3 linked regions of the Struthio camelus genome follow. The protein of the gene in region 3 purifies or fractionates together with the protein of the main gene of each other region. This does not show direct contact. Links are inferred from orthologs where the notes say so. Each region holds a gene or a part of one and is shown on either strand. Other genes may lie near its edges.

Region 1 (8,013 bases), on a different chromosome or scaffold from region 3:
CAATAAAAAAGGAGTGCTGAGACAGAAAGCTCATATCTTGGGAGACACATAGCAAATTCCATTATCTCCCCACGAGACTGATCTAGACCACAGTAAGGATTAAGTACTGCTCAGTGACCTAACATGATTTCCTTCGAAAACTATCTTGAAGTCCACTGTAAACGATTTTAATTTCAGCAGTTACATAAACAAATCAAGTGTGGGGTTTCAAAACAGATAAGCAGTTAAACATAGAGTCAGTGAACTGAAAGAACAGAGATAGTCTTTTCCCTGCATTTGTAAAGCGTTCAGCCCAGCACTCACCTCTGGAGAGATAAAAATTTATGCCCAGTATTACAAAGACAATGCAACACAATTCAAGACCCTTAGCAAGTTCCTTCTTAAATAGGCCACTTCTCAATTAACAAGGACAGTAAAAAATTTCAATAATAAGAAATTACATCTGTAATTTGGCGTCTACTAGGAATCCTTGCTGACCTTTCCTCAGGCCCCTAAATTGCCCAGAGTTCAACCTGTTTTCTTAGAGGACTGGATTAACGAATTATACTTAGCACCCTCCTTTCTGCATGGTTGTATTTGTGATGTTCATCCTTTAGCAATGAAAAAAAAAAAAAAAACACACGCACACACAGCTGGTTGGTATCTTTTTTATGGTTAAAAATCATCTATACAGGCAGCAGAAGCCCAAATCTTGTTGGTAATACCCCTTTATTATTTTCTCAAGTTTCCAAACATCCTGATAGGATATAAAGGAACTTCACATTCAACCTGGTTGTTATATTTTGGAACAGAACACTCAATTCAGTCACTGCAAGTCTGGATGAGATCCAAAACTCACTGCCAGTACAGTGAGTGCTTCTTAATTGAGTAATTGAGCTGTTTCCATGCTGCTTCTAATGCTACTGACAGGACTTGCTGCTTTTGCAATTCCTCTAGTTGCTACTGGTCTAAATAATAAGGACTGATATGGCAAATGTAGTCTCAAAGTCAGCCTAAAATATTAAATACTGTCATAAAAACAATGATCAAGTTTGGAAAAACATTCTCATATCTAGCATTCTGTTACCAACACAGTCTCCCAAGCTTGCACAGTTGTTATCTGCCAAAATACTCTGTGTTGCAATCTACTCTTAGAAAATGACTCCAAGTCCAAATTCAAGTCCTGGACAAAAGATGACAGAAGTTTCAGCCTATATTTGGAAATACCTCATTTCTCTTTCTTTGCATACCTCCTTCACTCTCTCCTGTCTACGTAAATACTAAATCCAACATCTATCCACGTTTCAATAGAAATGTGCCCATGAAAATAGTTTGGGTTACAACATGTTCATCCCCCACTGCAGGAGAAAATTAAAAAGCAGCATTTCCTCCATCTGTCATGAATTTATCTGGGCTAGGTTCCTAGGTCATCTCTGTGACACCATAATACTTCCTTTTCAGGTCCAGGAATCTGAGTGACCAGACCTAGTTAGCAAGAAAAAAAAACTATTGTAACTCAAATTGCACTGGAGACCCAAAACTCTTAAATTGTTACAACTGTCCATATCAAACAGCAGATAAAAAAACTGCATAAGTGCCTCTGAATCCAGTGCATTCTACCACCTTCACATCTATTAATCAACCTCCCAATGATATACCTGCCTGTGATAACCAACAGCCATATGACCCGTAACCCTTCCAGAAAGCAGGTCTGAGCACAGCAGAGTTGCTAAATACACATCCCCAAACGTGATGTGTATTTCAAATCAAATTGGAATACCGTACTTACCCATCTCTACCTTTACTGACAATCTTCACCTCAAAGTAATAAATGCCGCAAGCTGCAGGTATGGGGTGTGTAGCCCTGACTGAGGCAGCATCCTTATGATTTTTACCATGACCTAGGAGAGAACAGAAATTTAAGTACTTAGAGGATTTGAAGTCTCTCACGTTTTGTTCTAAAACACCACTATCTGAATGCAGCAGAGATCCATTTCTGCATATATTCAAAAATTAAAAGCTGTTTTTTTCAGAGAAATAAAATATACAACTCTGCATTGCCACCATGTACAATTCCTACGCTATGAGCACTATGGTTTTTTCCTTTGTTTCCACTCTAAAGGTACTGAGGTACTACCTCACCCCCTTCCCACATATGTTGTTTAAAAATCAATGTATACAAACAGAAAACAAACAGATTATGCAAAATAGGAATTACATCTGTATTTACCAGCCAGGTAAGAAAAGGTATGAACAGTTTTCTGTGTGTGGGGGGGGGGGGGGGGAGTAGGGAGAACAGTCTCCAATAGCAATAAAGAAAAACATCAAAGTGATTTCCCAAGTCTAAGAAGTCTGAGAGCGTCTATTTTGTATAAACTCATGTAGCAAAAGCCACAGTTATGCAATGCGTCCACTTCATCCATCTCCTTGGCCAGATTTTAAGTAGCATAACAGAGTGAATAGAAGATCCAGCTACACAGATGGGCCCACACCCCGTTTAGTGACACTGTAAAGCATTATGTATGGCACAACACACTGTCGGGAAAAAAGCCCTCAGCTCAAGGGTGCATCAGCCTCCCTGCCCCAGAAAAGACCCGGTCCGGGGTTAAACCCAGCCACAGCACCACCGCTGACCTGCTCGCCCCACAGACGTGGCAGAAGCCCCGCGGCCCCTCCACCCTGTTCCGCTCCCCGGCCGCGGCACCTCTGCCCCTGGGGGAGGCCCGGGACTGCGGCAGTCAGAGTTGTGGCCACGGCCGCCCTGCCCGCCCACGGGAGGCCCGAACTGTTGGCCTGGCCTGCCGCCCCGCTGCGCCAGCAGAGTGGCCGGGGCCGAAGGCAGGGGCAGGGCCGCGCTCCAGGCCGAACCCGGCCCGCAGCTCCAGCCTGGCACCTTTGTAGTGGACGCGAAGGTTGCCCTGCGAGAGGCCGATGTAGTTGTACTTGTCCTTGGGGCTCCAGGATCGTGGCAGCGGCGTCTCCTCCTGATTGACGGCAGGGTAGAGGCGGCGGAGGCGCTGGCTCAGCTCCTGCTCCTCGGGCGAGCACGACAACCCCAAGTCCCCCCCCTGCAGGCTCCCCGCGCCCGCATCCGCCATCTTGGATTCGCTTTGTGTCACCGGGCGGGGAGCAAGGCCCGCTTCCGGCCGCTAGCCAATAGCGTGCGAGAGCGGCCACAATAGGGCCGCGCTGCCCGACGGGAACCGGAGTCCGTCCTCTCTCTCTCTTTCTCGCCGCCGCCGCCGCTCACTGCTAGCTGGGACTACAAGTCCCTAAAGAGCCCGCGCTCCAGGCCCCACTACACCTCTCCGCGCGCTGCAGCCTGGGAAGAGAGTCCCCTTTTGCCGGGCGCGCGTGAGCATGGTAGTCCTGAACCTATTCAGAGCAGGAAAAAAAGAAATCTCAGCAGTACAGAAACACAAATCCTCTGTTCATTAGCAGTGCAGGAGACCCATGGCGGAAGCAATCCTGACTGCACAGTGAAAGAGGCTGCACGGCCGGTGCTCTCTGAGTTAAGAGGCAGTGCCAGACTTTCGCTCCCAGCAGGCCCTGCAGTGGCGCGGTCCTAAGGGGTTGTCGCGCGCTTACTGGCGTCCTGCTGTCGCCTCCGTGTAGGGGTTGGTAGCAGCCGCTCCGCCAAGAGGGCGGTAGTGCTGTTACAGCGGCCTCGTGCTGGACCCGGTCTCTTCACAGAGCCCTCTTTCCGCCGGGCCCTGGCCCGGGCCGCTCCGGAACTGCCGCGGCTCGCGGGCGCACCAGTGCGTCAGGCGTTGCCGGGGCAGCTATGGCGGCGCGTGGGGGCGTCCTGAGGGGGGCCGGGCGCCTCTCCATGGCGACGCGTGTAAACAGCGCGGACAGTGCAAGCTATGGCGGGGCGCCGCACTCCGCCGGGCGGGTAAGGGCCGGGCCGGGCCGGGCAGGCAGGCAGGGCGGGCAGCGAGTGCCGGCGTCCGCCCTCTCCTCGGCGACAGCTGAGCAGAGCCCTTCTCCTTCCCCGAGGCCGTAGTACCTCCCTTCCCTGTAACGCGTGTAGGCGCAGAGTCTGGGGCAACCCGCGGGTGCTACAGAGACAGCTTCTGCAGCGCTCCGCCTGTGTAAAATGAGCATGAAGTTAGGCCATAGGCGGGATGAATTCACTTGTCTGCACTAACAGTTCAGCAAGTATAAGTAAACAGTGAAGAAGACTTGTAAAAATTGCTCTTAGGACTTCAGTATATAGCATTTTTCTAGTAAGAGCCACATAGACAATAAAAGAAGGAACTTCTAGAGTGATTGTTTTAGTAGTTACTTTGCAAATGTTACTGCTCATAGCTAAGTTTTTTTTTTTTTTTTTTTGGAAAATAATGCCTCTTTCTTACCACTACTTTATCTAAATATCTGCCTCTACTGTTAAAGCCTTATTCCAGTTAGTTTCAATATTTGAGAATAACGAGAAAGAGGTCTCCTTTGTTTTCTTTCTTCTTCTTCTTCTTTTTTTTTTTTTTTGAAAGATTATGCTGGTCTTCAAGCATGTGGTTCTTCGTTCTGCAGGCTACCCTTTGCCTACCTTCTGAGAGTGCCTGGGAGCAGCCAGAGCAGCACTGCTCCACAAGGGAGGGTGAGCCAGGTGCCCAAGGTGACTACAGCACAGGCAGGGCCCTCACTGACCAGGTGTGGTCCCACAGCACCCAAAGAAGGATGCTGACAGCAGGATCCTTCTGTAGTCCCAGATGAAGCAGAGTGATGAATCAGGTACAAGGTCCAGCCATGGGGTCCAGTCAAGAGCAGCAGGAGAGTGAGTAAGAGACTGGCTGGAGACAAGCTTATAGCATAGGTCCAACGTGTATCCAGCAGACAGGGCTGAAGACAGGCACAACTATAGCACAGTACAAGCAAGGGATTGAAGGCCCAGGCCTGAGCTTAAATGGAGCTTCTGGACCAACAGGCAGAGGGTGTGCGAGTGGTGGTCCCAGGGGATGCTGATCAGGGTAATTAAGGCCTATTGGTGCTTTGGATGCCCTAACAGCCGACTGGACAGCCTCAAAAGGAAAATTCTGGGCTATTCTTGGCCAAGTCAACTTTTCTCTGTATATCCTGGCAGAGGAAGGTGAAGGCTTATTTTATACCAACAGATAGATTTTTATCTTTGGATCTCAAACTCAGATAATGCAGGTAGTCCAAGAGCACACTATCACTGCCTTTTCTGTTTGAGGGCTCCGCTATGAACAGCAATATGAGACGGAAGTTTTATCCAATGAGCAAGTTTTTCTTGCTTTAATTTTACTAACTTTCACAATGCTGAAAAAGCCTTCAGTTCCAAATCCAGACTGTCTGTACCACAGTCCAAGTAGCAATCAATGCCACTCATGGGAGAAGTCCTAGACCCTTCTCTTTTCACTTTGTTAAGGTAGGCTTCCTAAAAATAATCATAGCACCTGAGAACAGGCATCTTTCCATATCCAAACATGAGCCATCCCATAGTCTGAGAACCCTTGCTTTTGTCAGGAAAGTGAAAACCTGTCACATTCCTGTCTGGTAGCACACTGCTTGCTTTCCTGACTGATGTGGCTGATTGGACTGCCATTGTCTTTAAGATCCCATCCTGCAAGAGAAAACGAAGCATATGCTCTCAGGTGGTTAGTGCACTCAGCTGTTCCAAAAGTGGATAGAAGTAGAGGGTGCTCGCTACTTTGACTATAAAACTGTTAGTGAGTTTAGCTGCAAATATAAAATAGTATCATGGCATTTCCAGATAGCTAGGAATAATATTTTTAATGTATGAAAAATGCACTTCGTATTCTAAAACATGAGTTATTATATGCTTAATGATCTGTTATATATTGGAGATTTTCAAAAGATCATGCAATTCTGTGAACTGTTGGCCACTTCATACTTGTCCTGCTCCTTGGCCCAGAGTATCCCTGGATATTGTTTACTAGTGGAATCTGATATTCTCAGTCATGGCTCCCAGTTACCCCTCCTTTCCAGTGCTTCCTTATGGCTCAGCATGTAGCATGAGCTTCCACTACTTCCTCATGCTTGTGGAGTTATGCCATGAAAGCACGTTGGGCCAGGTACACTACTCTCAGAAGGATGAAGTGTGTTCTCTATGTCTGTTTTGTTGTGTTTCATTATCACTGGGCATTGAAAAGATGAGCTTGGGTTAATTTTGTGCTGGGTTGATGACTTAAAGCAGCTTATTAGGAGGTCCTATGAGCACTGGCAGCAGCACAAGGCAAACTACAGGAGAATACATCTAGAAGGAAGAGACAGGATGGGAGAACAGGACAGCGGTAAGCTGATAGGATCAGCTCGCTGTGTCTCAGGGAATCTTACCCAAACGCTGTGGTTCCTTGGGCAACTGAGCTGACACGACTGCTTGGGGTTTCTCTCCCCTTTCCATTGCCAGTCACAGAATCCTTCCCCTCCTTCATCAACGTGTGATCCTTGAGTCCTTCTGAGAGCTGCCCCCACTGAAGGGTACACTTGCATGTTATATCTTGAGCCATTCTAACCTGGTAACCTCAGAAAATGATGCAGGTTAGTTTTCCTTTGGATTAGCAAAGTAAAACAGCTCAGAGCAGTGTTCAGCGTGTACTAGAGCTAGCACTACATAGGCCTTAGGAGCCTGCTGCGGTACAGAGAGGAGCAGAACTTCCCCCTTCAGCAGTGGTGGGCTGTTACACTGACTTACTGTGTTTCACAGAGCTACAACTTGGGGCTGGCATTTTATGAGCTAGGGTGGGTGATCCAACAGCTCACCAGATGTTTTCTCCCACCCTGACTCTGTGCTGGCACTTGTTGGACTCCTCTGAAAGCTAGTTCAGCTCGTCCCACGCTCACCTCCCTCCAAAAGCAGAGAGCTGGTGACTTAAATCTGCTTAAGCACTGACACCTAACTCCCACCCAAGCATGAAACCATACTGGCAGCTGAAGCCAATTCTTAGGATATCAAACAATGTCTGATCGTGCTGTGCCAATGTACAATAAAGTGACTCTACAAATTCATTGTGATCTCTGGATATTGCATTGTTTTACCATTTCATGCAGCCCTAATTTTCTCCTAAAATACACATGCAATCATATGTTCACTTCCTAAAAGCCCTATTCTGCTATACGTATCAGTTTCTAATCTAGGAAAGAGAGCTCTAGGTTGTATCTGTTGGCTGTACGTGTTCTGTGTTTTGCTAGTTCCTCTGGTTGTTGGTCCATCTATCCTGTGGCACTACTGCCACCCCAGAGGGCTAGCTTTGCAGGCGCTTTGGGTACCCAAAATCCCAATTCTTAACTCATGGGCCACAGTCAGCTTCTCCAGCACCATTTCTTATCTTAACTCTTTAGAAGACCAATTCATTCAGGCTTGCTCAGCTGCAGAGTGCAGCTTGGCAGTCGATTGAGCAAATGGTTACTTTTATTGGAACAGTGAGGACAGTACCAAACATTGCACCAGCTATCAAATAGCAAATACCGGAGTTCAGCTGTACTACGGGCCTTATCCAAATAATCAAAGTCACCCATCTTTTTATTCAATCAGTCCCTCTGTATATGTTACCCTGTTGGGTATTTTCATCTGTTCATAACTGGCTGTTTATTTTGGGTGTATCTTCCTCTGAGATTCTCAATCTTCATACATGGATAGAACCATGTATTTAGTTCATTCTGTATATTTTGAAATGTGTCTTTCTTGCCATTGCACAGGACCTCTCTTGCATCTTCCTCTGAGACTCCAGATTGCCAAACACATATTAACAGATTGAAATACACTCTTTCCAAGACACAGAAGACTCCGGTGAGTTGAAGTATTCCAATGAAACATCCAAACTTTAACTAACTTCATGAACATTAGTGCCTTGCTGAAAGCTCAGGGACCATCCCGAACTATTAGGAAGTTAAGCAAGTTCTAGTCGTTTTAATCTTTTTTTTGATGGAGAGAGACAAAAGCTGATTGTTGCTGCAAACTCTTGCATTTCATATCTAGATGTCACTTTTGTGGATTAATTATGGAATTTTTTAAGGGTGGAGGATAAAGGAGAGGCATATAAATGTTGCTGTTGG
Region 2 (7,883 bases), on a different chromosome or scaffold from region 3:
ACCCTTTGCCTCAACCGATCTTAGTGGAGCAAACTCGGCGAGTTTTGTGATTACAAAACGCTCCACAGGTAAACTGAAGAGCTTTGTACCTTTATTCCCCTTGACTCGGGACGAGACTAAAATTAGAAAGAGATCGCTCGCTCTGTATATTCCTCCTCGATAGCTCCGATGTGCGTTACAAGCGTTCAGCTTTGTAAACCGATCAAAACAGGGAGATTCAAATGAAGCTGAGCTCTATTTATAATTCCTTTCATGCCCTGAACAGGGTGACACTTCCCTTTTCTAACATCAGTCCTGATGCTTAAAAATAGAGCTCGGAGACTACGACCGAGCCAGGAGCACGTACCCACAAAAGGAGGGAAATAAATCAATGCAAAATAAACTCCAGTCCAAGGGGAAGCTGCAAACAGCTCGCCTTGAGGAGCCCACACCGCTCCCCAAGGCGGAACAATACACCCTGCCTGGAGATGACCGCAGGCGGCTCCGAAGGGCCCCGCGAGCCGGGGCTGGGGAGGCCGCGGGGGACCCCAGGGCACGTCCCCCCGCCGGTGTAAACACGCTGGGTCAGGCTCCCCATCAGCTGTCGCCTCGCTCCGCCCCGGCCCTGGTTTCCGGGTAGTAACAGAGCAGCCAATCCGCGGAGTTGCGAGCTCTGCCCGAGGCCTCTTGCCTGCAAACAGGGCTCGGAGGCCAGCGGCTGGCTCCGAACCGGGATCCCCGGCGTCCCCCCCGGGGGGCAGAGGTGCCCGGGCTCGTGGCAGTGCCCCCGCTGGGTGCGTGCGGCAGGCTGGACCGGGGACTGAGCGCAGCAACCCAGGAAATTTCAGAAATCGGGGAGAGGGATGGCAGCCGCCACCCCCCCCCCCAAAGGAGGGGGGCAACGCAGCGCGGACCCCGGCTGCAGGCCCTTCCCCAACATTCGCACAACGTTGGGAGCACGATCGGGGGGAGAGAGAGAGAGAGAGAGAGAGAGACAATGAGTGACTCAGAGTTTCAGCACATAATCACCCGGGCGATTATTAAACATCGGTTCAACACATTAACACACACGGCTCCCCCCCCCACCAGCCATCCAGGGAGAGAGCCCAAGCAACCTCTCCCCTTCCCTGCTCACAAAGACGCGTCCACAAAAGGACATGGACGTGTTAGGATTGAAAATAGGAATAATAAAAAAGACCCCACTCGGCTCCTAAACCTGTCAGAGCAGGAGAAGGCAGCAGCGTTATTCACTCACAACGTCACCCCCTCCCTATCCAAAAAGGTAGCCCTTGGCAGGCGATAAATCCACGCCATTATTCTAGACTGGAGACATGAAAAGAGGCTGAAAAGGGAAACTGTAACGAAAATGGCAGCAAAAGGGGGGGGGAAAAAAAAAAAAAACCCTACACAACAACAAAACCATCCAGCCCCAGGGAGGAGCAGCCTTCAAGTACATTCCTCCAGACTAGTCCTCTCTCATTTGGTCACCACCAAAACCATCCGTCGCTCCCACGGCTCGCGACAGACCCTTATTTCACATCAGCTCCCAGGCAGGAAGACTCCCAACGTACACGGAGCGAAGCGCCCGGGGAGCCTGGGCCTACAGAGCCGGACTCAGCCTGGGCAGGCTAGACAAGTCGGACGGACAAACAAAAAGGCTCGGGGAGGGAGGAGTGGAGGGAAGAGTCATCTGACATAGACAACTTCCTAAGTTTGTTGTCTGCAGGACACCGACCGCTCTAACCCTCGCCCTCGGACACCAGGGACGCCGCGCTGACAATAACGAGAGCTCTGCTTTTGGAAAACCCTTTGGTTTCTTTTGTCGGTGGCCGGGGGGTGGGGGGGGGGGGAGAGCAGAGCAGAAACCACCCAGCGTTGGGAGGAACGCCAAATATTTGGGGGCTTTCTACCTACCGCCACCGCTAGAGATATAGAACAAGTGAAGCCACTTCAAAAAAAATAAAAAGAAAGAAAAATCCCTGCTCTTTGTCTCCTAAAATGCTGGAATCGCTGGAGATGCCAGCTACTAAATGAACAAAAAAAAAAAAAAAGAGGGGGAGGGGAAAGGAGAGCAGCAGATCAGGTTGGGCCTCGGCCCCTCTTCAGCCCCGTCCTCTTTCGAGACTATGGCTAATGAAGATTTTTTTTTTCCCCCCTGCTAAACAGCTGGAATTCCCAACCCTCCTCCCAGCGCAATTAACCATCGATCGAAATTTGCATTCGGCAGAGTGTGACATGTGCGTAACTTTAAACCTCAGATAAAAATAGCTCGGATTCAACCATGATCGGTAGTCATTTCCTATTTGCTTAAAAAACAACACGAAAATATACCAAGAGCAGCTTTGTACAGAGAAACGCACACGAAACACCGACAGAAGTTTCCTTTGATAAGCCACCCTCACGCCACAAACACGAGCGGTATCGCTCTTCTTTCCCCCCCCCCCCTTTAAAAACACAAAATCCAAGCAAGTTTGTTTATCTCTCTGGGAACTCAATCAGATCTGTTTTACCGACCCCTCAACGCCACACGCAAAGTTAGAGCCACCGTCCCCCCCGAGAGGTTCAACACCTCCAGTAAACAGAGCCGAAAACATTTCGCTTGCTCTTGTCATTTCTACCCACCTCGACACACACCACCGCCTTGTAAGCAATAAATAAATAAATAAATACATAAAAACTATTAATTAAAAAAAAAAAACCAAAACCAATCCTATAGCCAAACCCCCACCGATATTTTCAATACCACCCACACTCCAGACAGAGAGAAAAGGATTTGCCACCCTGCAAAGGGCCAAGAAGAGTGAGGAGGAAAAAAAAACATATATAAATAAATAAATAAATATATATATATATATATAAAAACAGATCTATCAAGGAAGGGGTGGGGGGAAGCCTAGCCCAACCTGGAGCGTTACGTAAACGGGACCGCTCGCAAAACCGGCCGGGGGTCCGGGGCCGCACTGAGCCCGTCTCCCACCCCGCCGCCACGGGCAATCCCAGCAGCACCCTCCAGCCCCCAAAATATTAAAATCCCTAAGCCCAGCACCAGAAGCTTCGTGAACCGCAGGCTGAAACCGAGGAGTAAATAAAGATAAACACCACAAAAGCCTTTCTCTGGGCTGTGGCCGCGGGGGCAGCTTCCCCCCCCCCCTCAAACCCCAAGCAGCTGGGCCGCAGGCCGGGGCAGGAAAGGGGGTGCCAGCCACCAGGCTGCGGCCCTCGCTGGGTTTTTTTTCGGGGGGGGGGGAACCACGGGCTGTCAAACCGGGGAGCCCCCAAACAAGGCTTAGGATGGGGGGGGGGAGGCTTTCCCCACAGTGTGGGGGGGCCTCGGGGGGGGGGGCAGGTCTGACCCCAGGCAGGCAGGGAGGGAGCCCCGGGGAGGGGGCCTGGCCCTGCCGTTGCCCGGGGGGGGGGGGGGAGGGCCGGTGCTGCCCCCCCCCACCCCTCCCCGGTGCAGGCCCGCGGGGCTGTCGGCGGAGGGGTGGTGCGGGAAGGATACAGCTTGACCACGTCGGTGTCCATCCGCCTCTTGCCCGGGCTGGGGGAGGACATGGTGGCCGCGGCCGCCCCCGGTGCTCCGGGCGGGCTGTCAGCGCCGCCGCCGCCGCCGCCCGGGGCCGCCCGGCGCGGAGGGGAGCGGGGGGGGGGGGGCGCCGGGCTCCGAGCCGCTGGGACCCCCCCTCTGCCGCCGCCGCCGCTGCTACTGCTGCTGCTGCTCCTGTCGCCGCCGCCCTCCTGTGGCGGGGCCGCCGCCGCCGCCGCCGCCGCCGCCGCCGCCGCCGCCTCGCGCTCCCGCAGCCGCCGGCCCCGCTCCGCTCCGCTCGCCTCTGCCGGAGCCTCTCTCTGGACTCCTGACGTCACCCACAGTGACCTCACCGCCTCGCCCCGCTGCCATTGGCCGCGCCGCCGCCGTGACGGCAGCGCGCCGGCCCCGCCCGCTCGCCGCGCTCCGCCCCACCGCCTGCCGGGAGTTGTAGTGCGGCAGGGCGGGCTGCCGAAGGCGGAAAGCGAAGGGCGAGGCGGCGGGTTCGAGACCCCGGCGGGGCGACTTGGTTCCCCCCCCCCCCCCCCTCCACCCCCCGCAGCCGCCGCCGCCCCGCGGTGACACCGCCAGCGTAACCTCAGTGCAAAGCACCGCGTCGTCCTTCCCGCTCGCCCACAAGCTGGCCGCACGGCTTTCCCGCTCTCCGGCCACCTTTGGGGCCTGCTGCTGCTGCCACCATCCTTAAAACGCGGGTTGGCCGAACGGCCCCGTCCCTCGGCAGCTCCGGCCGGGTCGCCTCCCGGCAGCAGGGCGACGAGATCCCGCCGTGCCCCCCCCCCCCGCCTCGTGCCCCCGTTTAAATCATTCGCCTTTCAGCTCGTTCGCTCGCGAGGCCCTTTCTGTAGGGCTTTCGCCCGGGCGGCTTCCCAAACGGGCTTTGCGCCCGGGTCCGTAGCACGCTAACGAGGCCTTTCCACTAATGAGGGGAGACGAGGCTTCCAGAGAAGCAGAGCCTCGACGCCGGCGCGCCGCCTCCCGCCGGGGAGCCGCCGCCGGCCTCGGCCCTGTGGCGGGGCCCCGGGGGAGCCATTTTGAGCGTGGCCGGGTGTAAAGCCGGGGAGAGTCGCGCTCGGCGCCCGCGGGGCGGCGGGGACGGTGGTGCCGGCCGTCTCGTCCCGTCCCCTCCTGCCTCAGCCGGCATCACCGAGCTGGCGCCTGGCTCCGGCTCGTCACCTGGGGCGAGGGGGTTTGGGAGGGTCCCCCGTGCCCTGGGTGGCCCCGGCAGGGAAAATGGCTGCCAGGCCGGGTGTGGGGAGCTGTGGGGATTGGGGGAGCCATGGGGAGCTGTGGGGATTGGGGGAGAGCCATGGGGAGCTGTGGAGATTGAGGGAGAGTTGTGGGGAGCTGTGGGGATTGGGGGAGCCATGGGGAGCTGTGGGGATTGGGGGAGCTATGGGGAGCTGTGGGGATTGGGGGAGAGCCATGGGGAGCTGTGGGGAGCTATGGGGAGCTGTGAGGATTGGGGGAGCTGCGAGGATTGGGGGAGCTGCAGGGAGCTGTGGGGATTGGGGAGAGCCATGGGGAGCCATGGGGATTGGGGGAGCCATGGGGAGCTGTGGAGATTGAGGGAGAGTTGTGCGAAGCTGTGGGGATTGGGGGAGCCATGGGGAGCTGTGGGGAACTGTGAGGATTGGGGGAGCTGTGGGGAGCTGTGGGGATTGGGGGAGAGCTGTGGGGAGCCATGAGGATTGGAGGAGCTATGGGGAGCTGTGGGGATTGGGGGAGCCATGGGGAGCTGTGGGGATTGGGGGAGACCTGTGGGGAGCCATGAGGACTGGGGAGCTATGGGGAGCTGTGGGGATTGGGGAGAGCCATGGGGAGCCATGGGGATTGGGGGAGCCATGGGGAGCTGTGGGGATTGAGGGAAAGCCATGCGGAGCCATGGGGATTGGGGGAGCTATGGGGAGCTGTGGGGAGCTGTGGAGACTGGGGGAGAGTTGTGGGGAGCTGTGGGGAGCTTTGAGGATTGGGGAGCTATGGGGAGCTGTGGGGATTGGGGGAGCCATGGGGAGCCATGGGGAGCTGTGAGGGTTGGGGGAGAGCTGTGGGGAGCCATGGGGATTGGGGGAGACCTGTGGGGAGCTGTGGGGATTGGGGGAAAGCTGTGGGGAGCTGTGGGGATTGGAGGAGCTATGGGGAGCTGTGAGGATTGGGGGAGCTGTGGGGAGCTGTGAGGATTGGGGGAGACCTGTGGGGAGCTGTGGGGATTGGGGGAGCCATGGGGAGCTGTGAGGATTGGGGGAGAGCTGTGGGGAGCCATGGGGATTGGGGGAGCCATGGGGACTGTGAGGAGCCACGAGGATAGGGGGAGCCATGGGGAGCTGTGGGGAGCCATAGGGATTGGGGGAGCTGTGGAGAGTTGAGAGGAGCCATGAAGATTGGGGGAGCCATGGGGAGCTGTAGGGATTGGGGGAGCTGTGGGGAGCTGTGGGGATTAGGGGAGCCATGGGGAGCTATGGGAAGCTGTGGGGATTGGGGGAGCTGGAGGAGCCACGGTGACGGGTGGGAGCTGTGGGGAGGGGGGGGGAATCCATGGGGAATTGTAGGAGGCAAGGGGAGTCATGGGGAGCAGAGGGAGATAGGGCAGACAGTTGGGGAAGGGGCTCCTCCATGCCCTGCCCTCTGGGGCAAGGTGGAGACACCCTGTGCAGGTGGGACACCCAGAGCCAGGGTGAGGACACCACGGACAGGTGGGACACCCAGAGCTAGGTTGAGGGTACCCTGGGCAGGTGGGACACCCAGAGCTAGGATGAGGGCACCCTGGCCAGGTGGGACACCCAGGGCAAGGTGGAGACAGCCAGAGCCAGGGTAAGGGCACCCAGGGCAGGGGTGCACGTGTGAGAGAGGGAGACCAGGAATGCCGGCCCGTGCGTTTGTGTGTGGGCACGTAGCATCTTCGTGCTGGGCCCCTCTCGCAGCGGGGTGCCCTGGGGCCCTGAGCGTCTCGTGGCTGTATCTTGTCCCGTGGCCCCATGTGATCCCCCAGGGCTAAGCCTGCTCTACCTCCGTTCCCGACAACTCCTGGGCCACGGCAACCAGGGGGTGAAGGCACTCCTCGTTAGGCCGTGTCCCATGGGTGTCGTGGGGCTGCGGCAGAGGTGATGCCATGCCCAGGCACCCCAGGCACCGGCCCCTTCCTTGGTGCTGCTGCCTGCTTTTCCCCTGCACCGTTGCCAACGGTGCCATGACCAGCCTCCGACTGATTACGACATCCATGTTTTTCAGTGCTGGGCACCCAAATGGCCTGGCCCTGCCCAGCCTGCAGGCTAATGTCACACCGCCTTCTGAAGTCAAAGCGGCAGAGGAGCATGATGGAGTGCCCTGCATCTGGAGAGGAAGGGCCACAGCAGCATTTCCCGGGGAGCGGTGCAATTGGGTCTTTCTCACAAAAGGAAGACAAACTACCCTGATGCAAACCACCCTCTCGCCCCATCAGGCCTGCACCAGAGCCTCGCTCGCCCCAGCACCCAGCCAGGACACGACGCAGCGAGGGATGGCGGTAGTGACTCCCTGCTGCAGGGAACAGAGGCTCCCATCTGCCAACATGACCTGTCATCAAGAGAGGTTTGCCGCTTGCTGGGGGCTCGGATCCGGGATGTTACAGAGAGGCTGACGAGGCTTGTCCAACTCTTGGGACAATTACCCCTGCTGCTCTTCCAGGTGGCACCAACGATACTGCCAAAGGCAGCTTGGGACGTATCGAACATGACTACAGAGCACTGGGGGCAGTGGTCAGCGGTATGGGGCCTGGGTGTTTTTCTCCTCAATCCTGCCAGTGAGGGAAAGAGTGTGAGGAGGAGTGGACTGATGCTGCAAGTCCACAGTTGGCTGCACAGCTGGCCCAACCAGGTTTCGGCTTCTGGGACCACGGGACCCTGTTTGAAGACAGCTGTCTACTTGGGAGAGATGGGATCCCCCTCACCAAGCAGGGCAAAAGCATCTTTGCCAACAGGCTGGGCGACCTGGTAAGGAGGGCTTTAAACAAGGAATTACCAGGGAGGGAGAGAGTTGCAGGGAACGCACAAGCAACAAAACAGGGCTTAAGTGGGGATGCACCAAGTATTTGCATGTAGGCAAGGAAGTGCCCACAAGACAACACTACGGGGAAACCTCTCACACCCTTTCTGGGAAATCGGCACGCTTGGGTGCCTCTCTGAAGTGCTGGTACACTAATGCATGCAGCATGGAGAATAAACAGGAGGAACTAGAGATCTGCGTGCAGCTGCAGGGCGATGATCTCATTGGCATCACAGAGACGGGGTGGGATAATAGCTCCCATGACTGCAATGCTGCAATGGATGGGCACAGGCTCTTTAGGAAGGACAGGCTGGGATGGCGAGGAGGGGGAGTCATCCTT
Region 3 (7,835 bases):
AGAGCAGGCCTTCCTCATGACTGTGCTGCTAGGTCTGCTTTTGAGACAAGAAGCAACTCCCATGTGCTCTTACCCCTCTAAGGCCTAGGCACTGTGGAGAAGATAGCATCTTTATTGGAACAGGGATTTGGACAAGGAGCCACAACTGTCACGGATTAGTGAGAATGAGCTGTAGCAGGGAAACTAATAGAACCTATTAGATCATAGGTCCAGGTCAGAATCAGTTTCAGATTCTGGCATTCATCTAGCCTCTGTTTCTCTCCTGTCAGCACTTAACTATGAAACCTAAATGCATACAAGTATTCAAGAGCTAGGAAATGCCAAAATTAAAGTTCTCCACAGTCTTGATTACCAGCTTTAGCATCCTGGGTTTTTTGTTTGTTTTTTTTTTCCAGGGAACACTATCTTGTGTATTAAATGATTAGCTGGGCTTTGTTAATACTGCTCTTGTATCTCTCTATACCTGCTCATCTGTCAGAACACTCACTGAAGAGTTGTAAGATGTGATTTAAAAAAAAAAAAAAAAAAAGTGGAAACTTAGTATAACCTTCAGCTTATCCCAAATAGCTGTGAACTGTCAGCTAGGTTACTGAAGATAGCTGAGGGATATCTTTAAGGGTCCTGGGTCTGTTCCTAAGATCTTAACTATACCTATGTTTTCGCGTGATCTGGGACTATCATGGAAATACTTTATTTCATCTTTCTGAGGGGGCAGAGGAAATTTTAAGCGTAAATTCTGGAAGGAGCCTGAATAGCCTCTGAAAAAATCTGAGCCTGATATTCAACTGTCTAATTCTACATGAACTGGAGTGGAAGATGTTGGTTATATTTGATAGACTTTTAGTCTGATTCCATATGATTTTTAAAGTAAATGTCTTTTCCTTTCTGATAAATGTATTTTGGCTCTCTAGAAAGCAGGAGGTTTTGCCAAGGTAGAATGCTGGTTTTTAAATCTTCAAAGATTTTATTTTTCTTTTAATGAAGTTTTTCAGCACCCACTGAGCAGGGTGCAGATGGTAAATGTACTTACCATAAAAAATGTTGGAGTACAACCTGTGTCTGATCTTTATAGAGTTGCTATGCTCTTTCTTTCAGTTGCATCCTCTTTGCAATTTAAAGTACCCATCTCTAACTGTGCTCTCATCCACTATGGATTTTCCCTGTCAGCAGGGTTCTCTGCTGCATGTAGAACTCAATTGCAGTACTGAATTTGAAGCCTCTCCAGTAAAGACGACCATAAATTCCAACAAGTATGTAGAAGAGTAGGAAAGGCTGATAATCAGTTCAATTGGCTCTTAAGATCCAGAGTCTTCATCCCTCTTTAAAAAGTTTTAAAAGTCTTTGCAATTTTTTGACTCTCTTTGATTTTAGTGAGAAATATCTGGAAAATGCTCATCTCCATGAGACTGTGGTACAGGCCATAATCACATTGTTCAGTATATGAGACTTGCCTTTAGTTTGAAAACGTTTTTACTGTTATCTATAAAGTGCTTGAGAAAAGTGGCTAACACAAGTATTTTGTTCAGAGCATGTTATATTAAATCTACGCAAAGAGCAACAAACTAAGAAAAGGGGTATAACTACTTTTTCTTGAGAAGTGGAATATTTTTCAAGTTAAAGCAAACATCAGCTGCTATTAAAGTTAACTTCTGAAAGCATCTTAAAACGTTTATTGTGCTCCCCTGTTATCCTCTGCAGAATCTCTGCTAACAGCTGGCAAACTTGGGTTTAACAGTTACCTTACAATAGCAAAAATGAAGACTTAAGTGAACCCTGACCTGGGGTGGTTTTACCTTCCCGCCCCCATTCAGTGCTGTCTTCAGGAGTAATGACGTCCCCACATCTCAAGGAACGAAATACAGGAGGACTAATACCAAAATATCAGCTCTTACGGAAAGCTACAGCCAAACTGGATAAATTCCTGCTTTTTCTTGAGGTTTTCACTACAACTCCCCCCCCCCCCCCCAAAACCGCAACAAGATTATGTCAGAAGAAGCCATGACTTTCCCCCAGGCCAGTCAGAGCAGAGGCAGATAAAGCGAAGCCTCGTTGCTTGTTGCAGAGCGGCGGCAGTCAGGAAGGCACCTCACCGGATTACCTGGGCCCTCGTGGAGCGAGGACGGGGGTTTAGTCAGGCTGCCGAGTGCTGGCGTTGCCCTCGGGGCCTTAGGGCCGCGCAGGAGGAGACCGAGGGGCTCCCTCGAAAGTCCCGCTGCCGTTCCTGCCCCGCGGATGAGGAAGACGGCAGCGGGGGCTGCCTCAGCTAAGAGCTCAGCCGCCGCCGCCTCCCCCAGCGAGAGGAGGAGCAGCGGCAGGGCCCCCGTTGCCGCCCAGGTGCCTTCCCGAGCGGCTCGGCGGGTAGGTAAGCTTTGCCCTGGCGCTGAGCGGCTGCGGGACCGAGGCCCCCGGCGAGCTGCTGCAGCAGCGCCTCTCGCCCGGCGTTATCGTGCTGCGCGGGGCCCGCCCCTCCCCTCTCCCCCTCCTTTGGGCCCCCGTAACGGCGCGCCGCGCCTGCGCGCTCCGCCCGCCTGACTCACGGGCCGGCGCGGGAGAGGCGGCTGTGGTGGCGGCGGCGGGCGCATGCGCGGGCGGAGGTGTGGCGGGGGGAAGGTGCCCGCCCTGCGGCTTGCCGTGGCGCGCTGGCGGCGCAGGCGCGGCGGCGCGGGCTCGCGGAAGGTAGCGGGGTTTCGGCGTCGGCCGATTCGCTGGGCGCGAGGTCCGCGGCGCCCCGCCCCTCCCCTCTTCTCCCCCCCCCCCCGCCCCCCCCGCCCCGGCGGCGCCGCGCTCCGCGATGTGGCCGTGCCCGCCGGCGGCGGCGGTGGTGGCGGCGGCAGCGGCGGCGCGCGCGCGGGCTTGAGGGCGCCGCCGCCGGAGTTGCTGCGTCCGCCAAGATGGCGTGCGTGCTGGAGGCGCCGCTCCGCATGAGCGTCCTCTCGGTGAGTGCCGCGCGGCCCGCCCCGCCCCCGCCCCCGGGCCCGGCCTGACCTTGGCCTTCGCGGCGGCCCCGCTTTGTGTGCGGGGTGAAGGGGGGGGCCGCGGGCCGGGCGGGCGGCTTTCCCCCGGGCCGCTGCCGTGCCGCCCTGCCGGGGCGGCCCCCGGCCGCTTCCTGGAGAGTTCGGCTCGTCTGACAGTGAAACGCGCCCGGATTTAACCTTTAACGAAGGGGTTTTCACCTCCCTTTTGGGTGGGGGGGGGGGCGGCTCGGCGTCTGCAGGCGCCCCGCCGTGAACCTCCCGGGCCCGCGGCAACTCGCGGCCGGCGAGCGGAGCCGCAGCGCCGAGCGGCCGCGTGGGGGAACGGCGGCGGTGTGGGGGGGCGGGGGGCTGTCCGGGGCCGAAACGCCGGTCGTGTGCCCTCCTGGCCGCGCTGCCGCGGCCCCCGCTGCGGGGAGGGCGCCGGTGCCCGGTGCCCGCCTCCCACGGCCGCCGGCGCCGCGGGGAGGCACAGCGCCCAGGGCTGCAGCGTGGCTGCTCCTCGGAGAGCTTAAGGGCTTCTCTGGCTGCGGTTTGCTGCTAGCTAAGAGGACCCTGAGACTATGATAACGTCAATAAATTTCTTTTTTCCCCGATACTTTTTTTTTTTTTTTTGGAAAAACTTGTTTGGCTGCATATGACCGACCTTCTTCACCAGGCTACAGATCTAATAGTCAGTAGGGTGAAAGCCGGGATGTGTTAGAAGCAGGAGGTCTGAAGTCCAAAATATTTTTTTTGCGTATAAACATATAGACCTGGCAGGTGAAAGCCCGCTGCTGTTCTCAAAAACGCTGTCCTTGGTTACGTGGTGAAAGCTGAACTGAAAGCAAATTTATTTGGCAGAACGTAGTAGTACTCTTGGAGGCAAGACGCCTGCAGTCTCTAGATGATTCTTTTTCTCTCAGACTTGTGTGGGACTACAGGCAAGAAGCTGCTGGCACCTCCAGCATCTGGAGGGGGAGGCAGGAGCAGGCTTAGTCCAAGTGTAGATGCTCCCGAAAGCGAGGAGGACTTTACAGCTTCCTTATAGCTCCTTTCAAGGAAAACTCGTAAGGGGAAAACAGGAGAAGGCTCGTAGAAGGTTGAGCAGGCAAAAAGAACTGAGACAGCGGAGAGGCGCTCTGGCACGTGTTCATGAGAACCTGGAGGGAAAATTCCCTTGCCTTTTCCCACCCTTCTCTTCTGGAATGCTTTCCTTCTCCAACTTTGGAGCTTCTCAGAGAGAATGACAGATCACTGGTGCATAAGCGTTTAACTTGCAAGCACGGTCCTGTTGCCGAGAGGAGAGTTAGTTCACTTTGTGTTATAGAGTAGCTAGGGGAATGTTATGGAGGGTGTTGTGCTGCTGTCCGTGTTGGAATTGTGGGGACCAGTTTATAGAAGGACAGAGTCTCTGAAACATGTAAATATTTCCAATAAGGTAAGTTTCAGAAAAATGTCTCAATACAAGCTTCCTTATTTTTGAGAGTTCGCTTGTGGGTATGCTTCTTGAGCAACGTTAACTGTTCTTAAGAACTTTTTCTGTAAGGGATTTTCTGCTTATGTAGTAATTACACACAATAAAATTGAAGTGAAGACAGGACTGATGCCTCAAGTAGACCCCTTCTTGCATGACCTATTCATAAATATTTAAATACGTGGAGGTGCTCCATTAACTTGCTTTGACTCATAACATGGATATCCACATTTAGGTAAATCTTATTCTTTAAATCACATTTAAACACAAGGTTAATTCCTTGTGTGGGTGTTGCCCAGCAGTAACATACTGCACGTAAATATGATTCTGTGTTTTTGCTGATATCTTGCCTGGTAGGTTTTGTAGACTTGCTGCTTTTTTAGTCATTCCTTTTTGTCTGCCATTATATGAGTTGATGTAAATTATTAAAAAATATATATATATATATATTTATTTCTCTGCAGGAAGTAACGGCCAGTAGCCGCCACTATGTTGACAGATTATTTGACCTCGATCCCCAGAAAGTCCTGCAAGGTGTCATGTAAGTCATATGAAACAAATTCAAACTGTTGTTGTACCTAGGCTAAGTTTGCTTGAATTCTAGTAGTGTGATATGTCAGTGGAAAGAGATTCTTCCCATCTTTTTAGATAAATCTTGTTGGAAAACTCGCTATGTGAATTTTCCTGCAAACATGAGAATGTTGTTTTAGCATACTATCACTTTGTGGTGCATAGGGTTAGTACCCCAGCCTCCCAGTTGCTAGAAATGAGGTAAAACATTCTGTGAGCATTCAAATTTATTTTTGATACTTTTCTTCCTTCTGGCCTTTTCCTTTTGTTCCGTTTCCAGGTCTGATGAGAATTTTTTCTCTTATTTCACTGCCAAGTCAGCATACTTGCCTCTTCAGCTGTTTCCCCTGCCATCATGCCTGGAGTGTTGATTTTTTTGGATATGACTTCTGTCTCATCAAAGGGAATTGAGAGCTGAAAGAAAATGCTTCTATAGAAATTAATTTAGATATAACTTATGTTTCAGTATGTCTGTTGCATACCAGTGACAGGAGGTAATGGCTGAAAAATTCAGTAGAAGACTCTCGCTAGTGAGCGCATAGTAAAATTGGTGCAAAGATCTAGTTGTTTCCTTACTGTCCTTGAGCTATAAGCTTTCCGTTATATTCACACGGGGATGTGGCACACAAGTCCTTGCCTAGGACTGACTTTTAGTGGTGAAACCAGGCTTTCTCAGGCTTACGTGTAACTTGCTAGCAGTGGCTAACTAGCAAAGTGCTAGAAGACATTGAAGCCCTAAGTGGATGAAAAAGCCAAGAATGTTGGGTTTCATTGCTCATGGACAGTCTGAGGTGTTTCCAATAGCAGATGAGCAAAGTCACTCTGGAAAGCGTCCCAGGGAGGGAGTAGGGAACATATCAGAGTCAAGTATCCCTTTGAAATGCCTGAAAAACCCAGCCTGTATAAAACTATCTTGGATTTTTTTGTTGTTGTTGTTGAAATATCCTTTTGTTACCTGTATAAAACCTTCTGGTCCTCCAGTGTAAATATTTACAGGTTCTTAACTGTTCCCTGTGGAAAAGTTTGGCTTTGTTTCTGCTTCTTGGCCTTCTTAGTCCACTGCTCACAAAAGTGAGTTGGATGTTCCCAGGGGCAAGGATGTGTCTCATCCTGTGTGCAAGTGGGCTGACTGAGCCCCCTCTTTTCTCCTCGGCAGATGCTCTGAGCGCTGGGTGGTGCTCCCTCCCTGCGGTCCTTTCTTTTCAAAGAACTGTGGAACCCCAACCCTTGGGAATCCCTTCCCTATCTTTTGAGTTGTTATTCGCATCTTCTGAAGTTTAAGCAAAGAGTTTTCCCAGAAACAAAAATCTTAAGCGGTCTCTTTGTCTCAGCTAGCATCTGCAATGTCAATTGATTTTATGCTGAGCTGCCTTTCAGTTTTAATGTGGTCTAAGAACAGATAAATTGATAAGGGGCAACTATGTAACTGCAGAATATGTCTCTGCAGTTAGAGATCATAAGCTATCCATTTAAAGACAACAGAATACCAATATATTTTACAATAACTTTCTTTTTTGTTTGCCAGCTTGGTTCCTGGCTTCCAATATAAGAGATGTTTTGCTGCTTTGCCTCATGAATTTTTCGTAGCTCACTATTTTGGTCGTTTTATCATGTAGCTTTTTCAGATCATCCTTTTCCTGTGGTACTTGGACATGTCCTTTACGGATCCACTTTGGATCCACTTCTTTTGGATTCTGCTCTTGCTACCGTTTGAATTTTGCTACCATGAAGACCATGTGGCAGTATCTTTGAGGCTGAGCTTGGTGGAGGAGACATTTCTTCTCAAACAAATGCTCTGAGGTTTGGAGAGATTATAAGGGGTGTGAGTAAGAACAGATTTGAAGAAGGAGGTGTCTTTTAAGAATGGATCCGAGTTATTCTAGTTGTTGGAGTAACAGATGCTGCTACTTTGAAACTGCTGAAGGAGTTGCACAGAAGATGCCTTCCCTTTAGACTCAGACCTTTGAAAGTTACAGATCTGACAGGATTAGTGCCCCTGAAGGGTACAGGGGAAAAGGAGGAAAAAGTTACAGGACCGATCCGTGACACTCTGGCTAAGATCCTAATTCTGAGAATCTATCTTTCTTGACACTAAGCAAATCCTGCGTGATGGATTTGTTTTTTCCTGAATATGGGTGGATGGATGTGATACAGTCCAGTTCAGAATAGTGTATATAGTCTCTAACAAATTCTGTCAGTCCAAGATTCTCCTCAGGCAGACAAGAACTACTTTGCCCTTCTTCCTTTGACTTCAGGGTATCTGAAAAAGGTATTCAACCTGGAATGAACTGATGCTAGGGGGAGGTGGGGAGAAGGGGATTAAAGTCCCATCAGAAGTGTCTGTCAGAAGCTTTGCCAAGTGTTCTGCATAATTCACTGAAAATCTTTGGTTCCTAAGATGTGCTGTTTTTCCTGCATCTTGGCTGAAAATACTGATGACCTAGATTTTTATTTTGATTGATGGAACTGTATGAATATCGAGGACCAGGAAATAGGCTGTCTTGAGAGGGTTTGTTTCTGCAGATTGTCTTCAGGTGCAGTAGTTCTGTTCTTCACCTGGTATTAAGGAAACCTGGAAGAATAACTTGAGTTTGGGCCTTTTCTTTTATTGCACTCTTGTACATTTTAATGAAATCTAACTTCTGAATTAGGCTTGATAAAGGTAAAATGGAGCTAAGTATTTCTTGAACTTGAAAATCATGTCAATGCAGTTGACATTTTGTAACTTGAGAAAGCTCAGGGTTACATATGCTGAAAGGATCTGAATTATCAAATCTCTTATTTCCTTTCCTTCTCTTTTTCTTTTGCCAGACAATGAAGTCTTACCTGCTGAGGAG

The links. Proteins that work in one complex are often made in the same cells at the same time.
Region 1: the proteins of ARMC8 (region 3) and RANBP10 purify together in Homo sapiens (affinity purification with mass spectrometry; 5 studies listed by BioGRID and IntAct, with this or other methods). This does not show direct contact. The link is inferred for Struthio camelus from reciprocal best matches to the Homo sapiens genes ARMC8 and RANBP10.
Region 2: the proteins of ARMC8 (region 3) and UBE2H purify together in Homo sapiens (affinity purification with mass spectrometry; 3 studies listed by BioGRID and IntAct, with this or other methods). This does not show direct contact. The link is inferred for Struthio camelus from reciprocal best matches to the Homo sapiens genes ARMC8 and UBE2H.

What each region holds. Positions count from the first base shown.
Region 1 is NC_090951.1:24,214,642-24,222,654, forward strand, and holds the start of RANBP10 (ran-binding protein 10), read right to left. Parts: upstream 3,618-8,013; 5' UTR 3,078-3,617; coding exon 2,873-3,077; intron 1,881-2,872; coding exon 1,769-1,880; intron 1-1,768. UniProt on the Homo sapiens protein: May act as an adapter protein to couple membrane receptors to intracellular signaling pathways.
Region 2 is NC_090942.1:1,892,711-1,900,593, forward strand, and holds the start of UBE2H (ubiquitin-conjugating enzyme E2 H), read right to left. Parts: upstream 3,618-7,883; 5' UTR 3,535-3,617; coding exon 3,482-3,534; intron 1-3,481. UniProt on the Homo sapiens protein: Accepts ubiquitin from the E1 complex and catalyzes its covalent attachment to other proteins. E2 ubiquitin conjugating enzyme that transfers ubiquitin to MAEA, a core component of the CTLH E3 ubiquitin-protein ligase complex.
Region 3 is NC_090950.1:5,470,709-5,478,543, reverse strand, and holds the start of ARMC8 (armadillo repeat-containing protein 8), read left to right. Parts: upstream 1-4,181; 5' UTR 4,182-4,299; coding exon 4,300-4,392; intron 4,393-4,892; coding exon 4,893-4,969; intron 4,970-7,835. UniProt on the Homo sapiens protein: Component of the CTLH E3 ubiquitin-protein ligase complex that selectively accepts ubiquitin from UBE2H and mediates ubiquitination and subsequent proteasomal degradation of the transcription factor HBP1.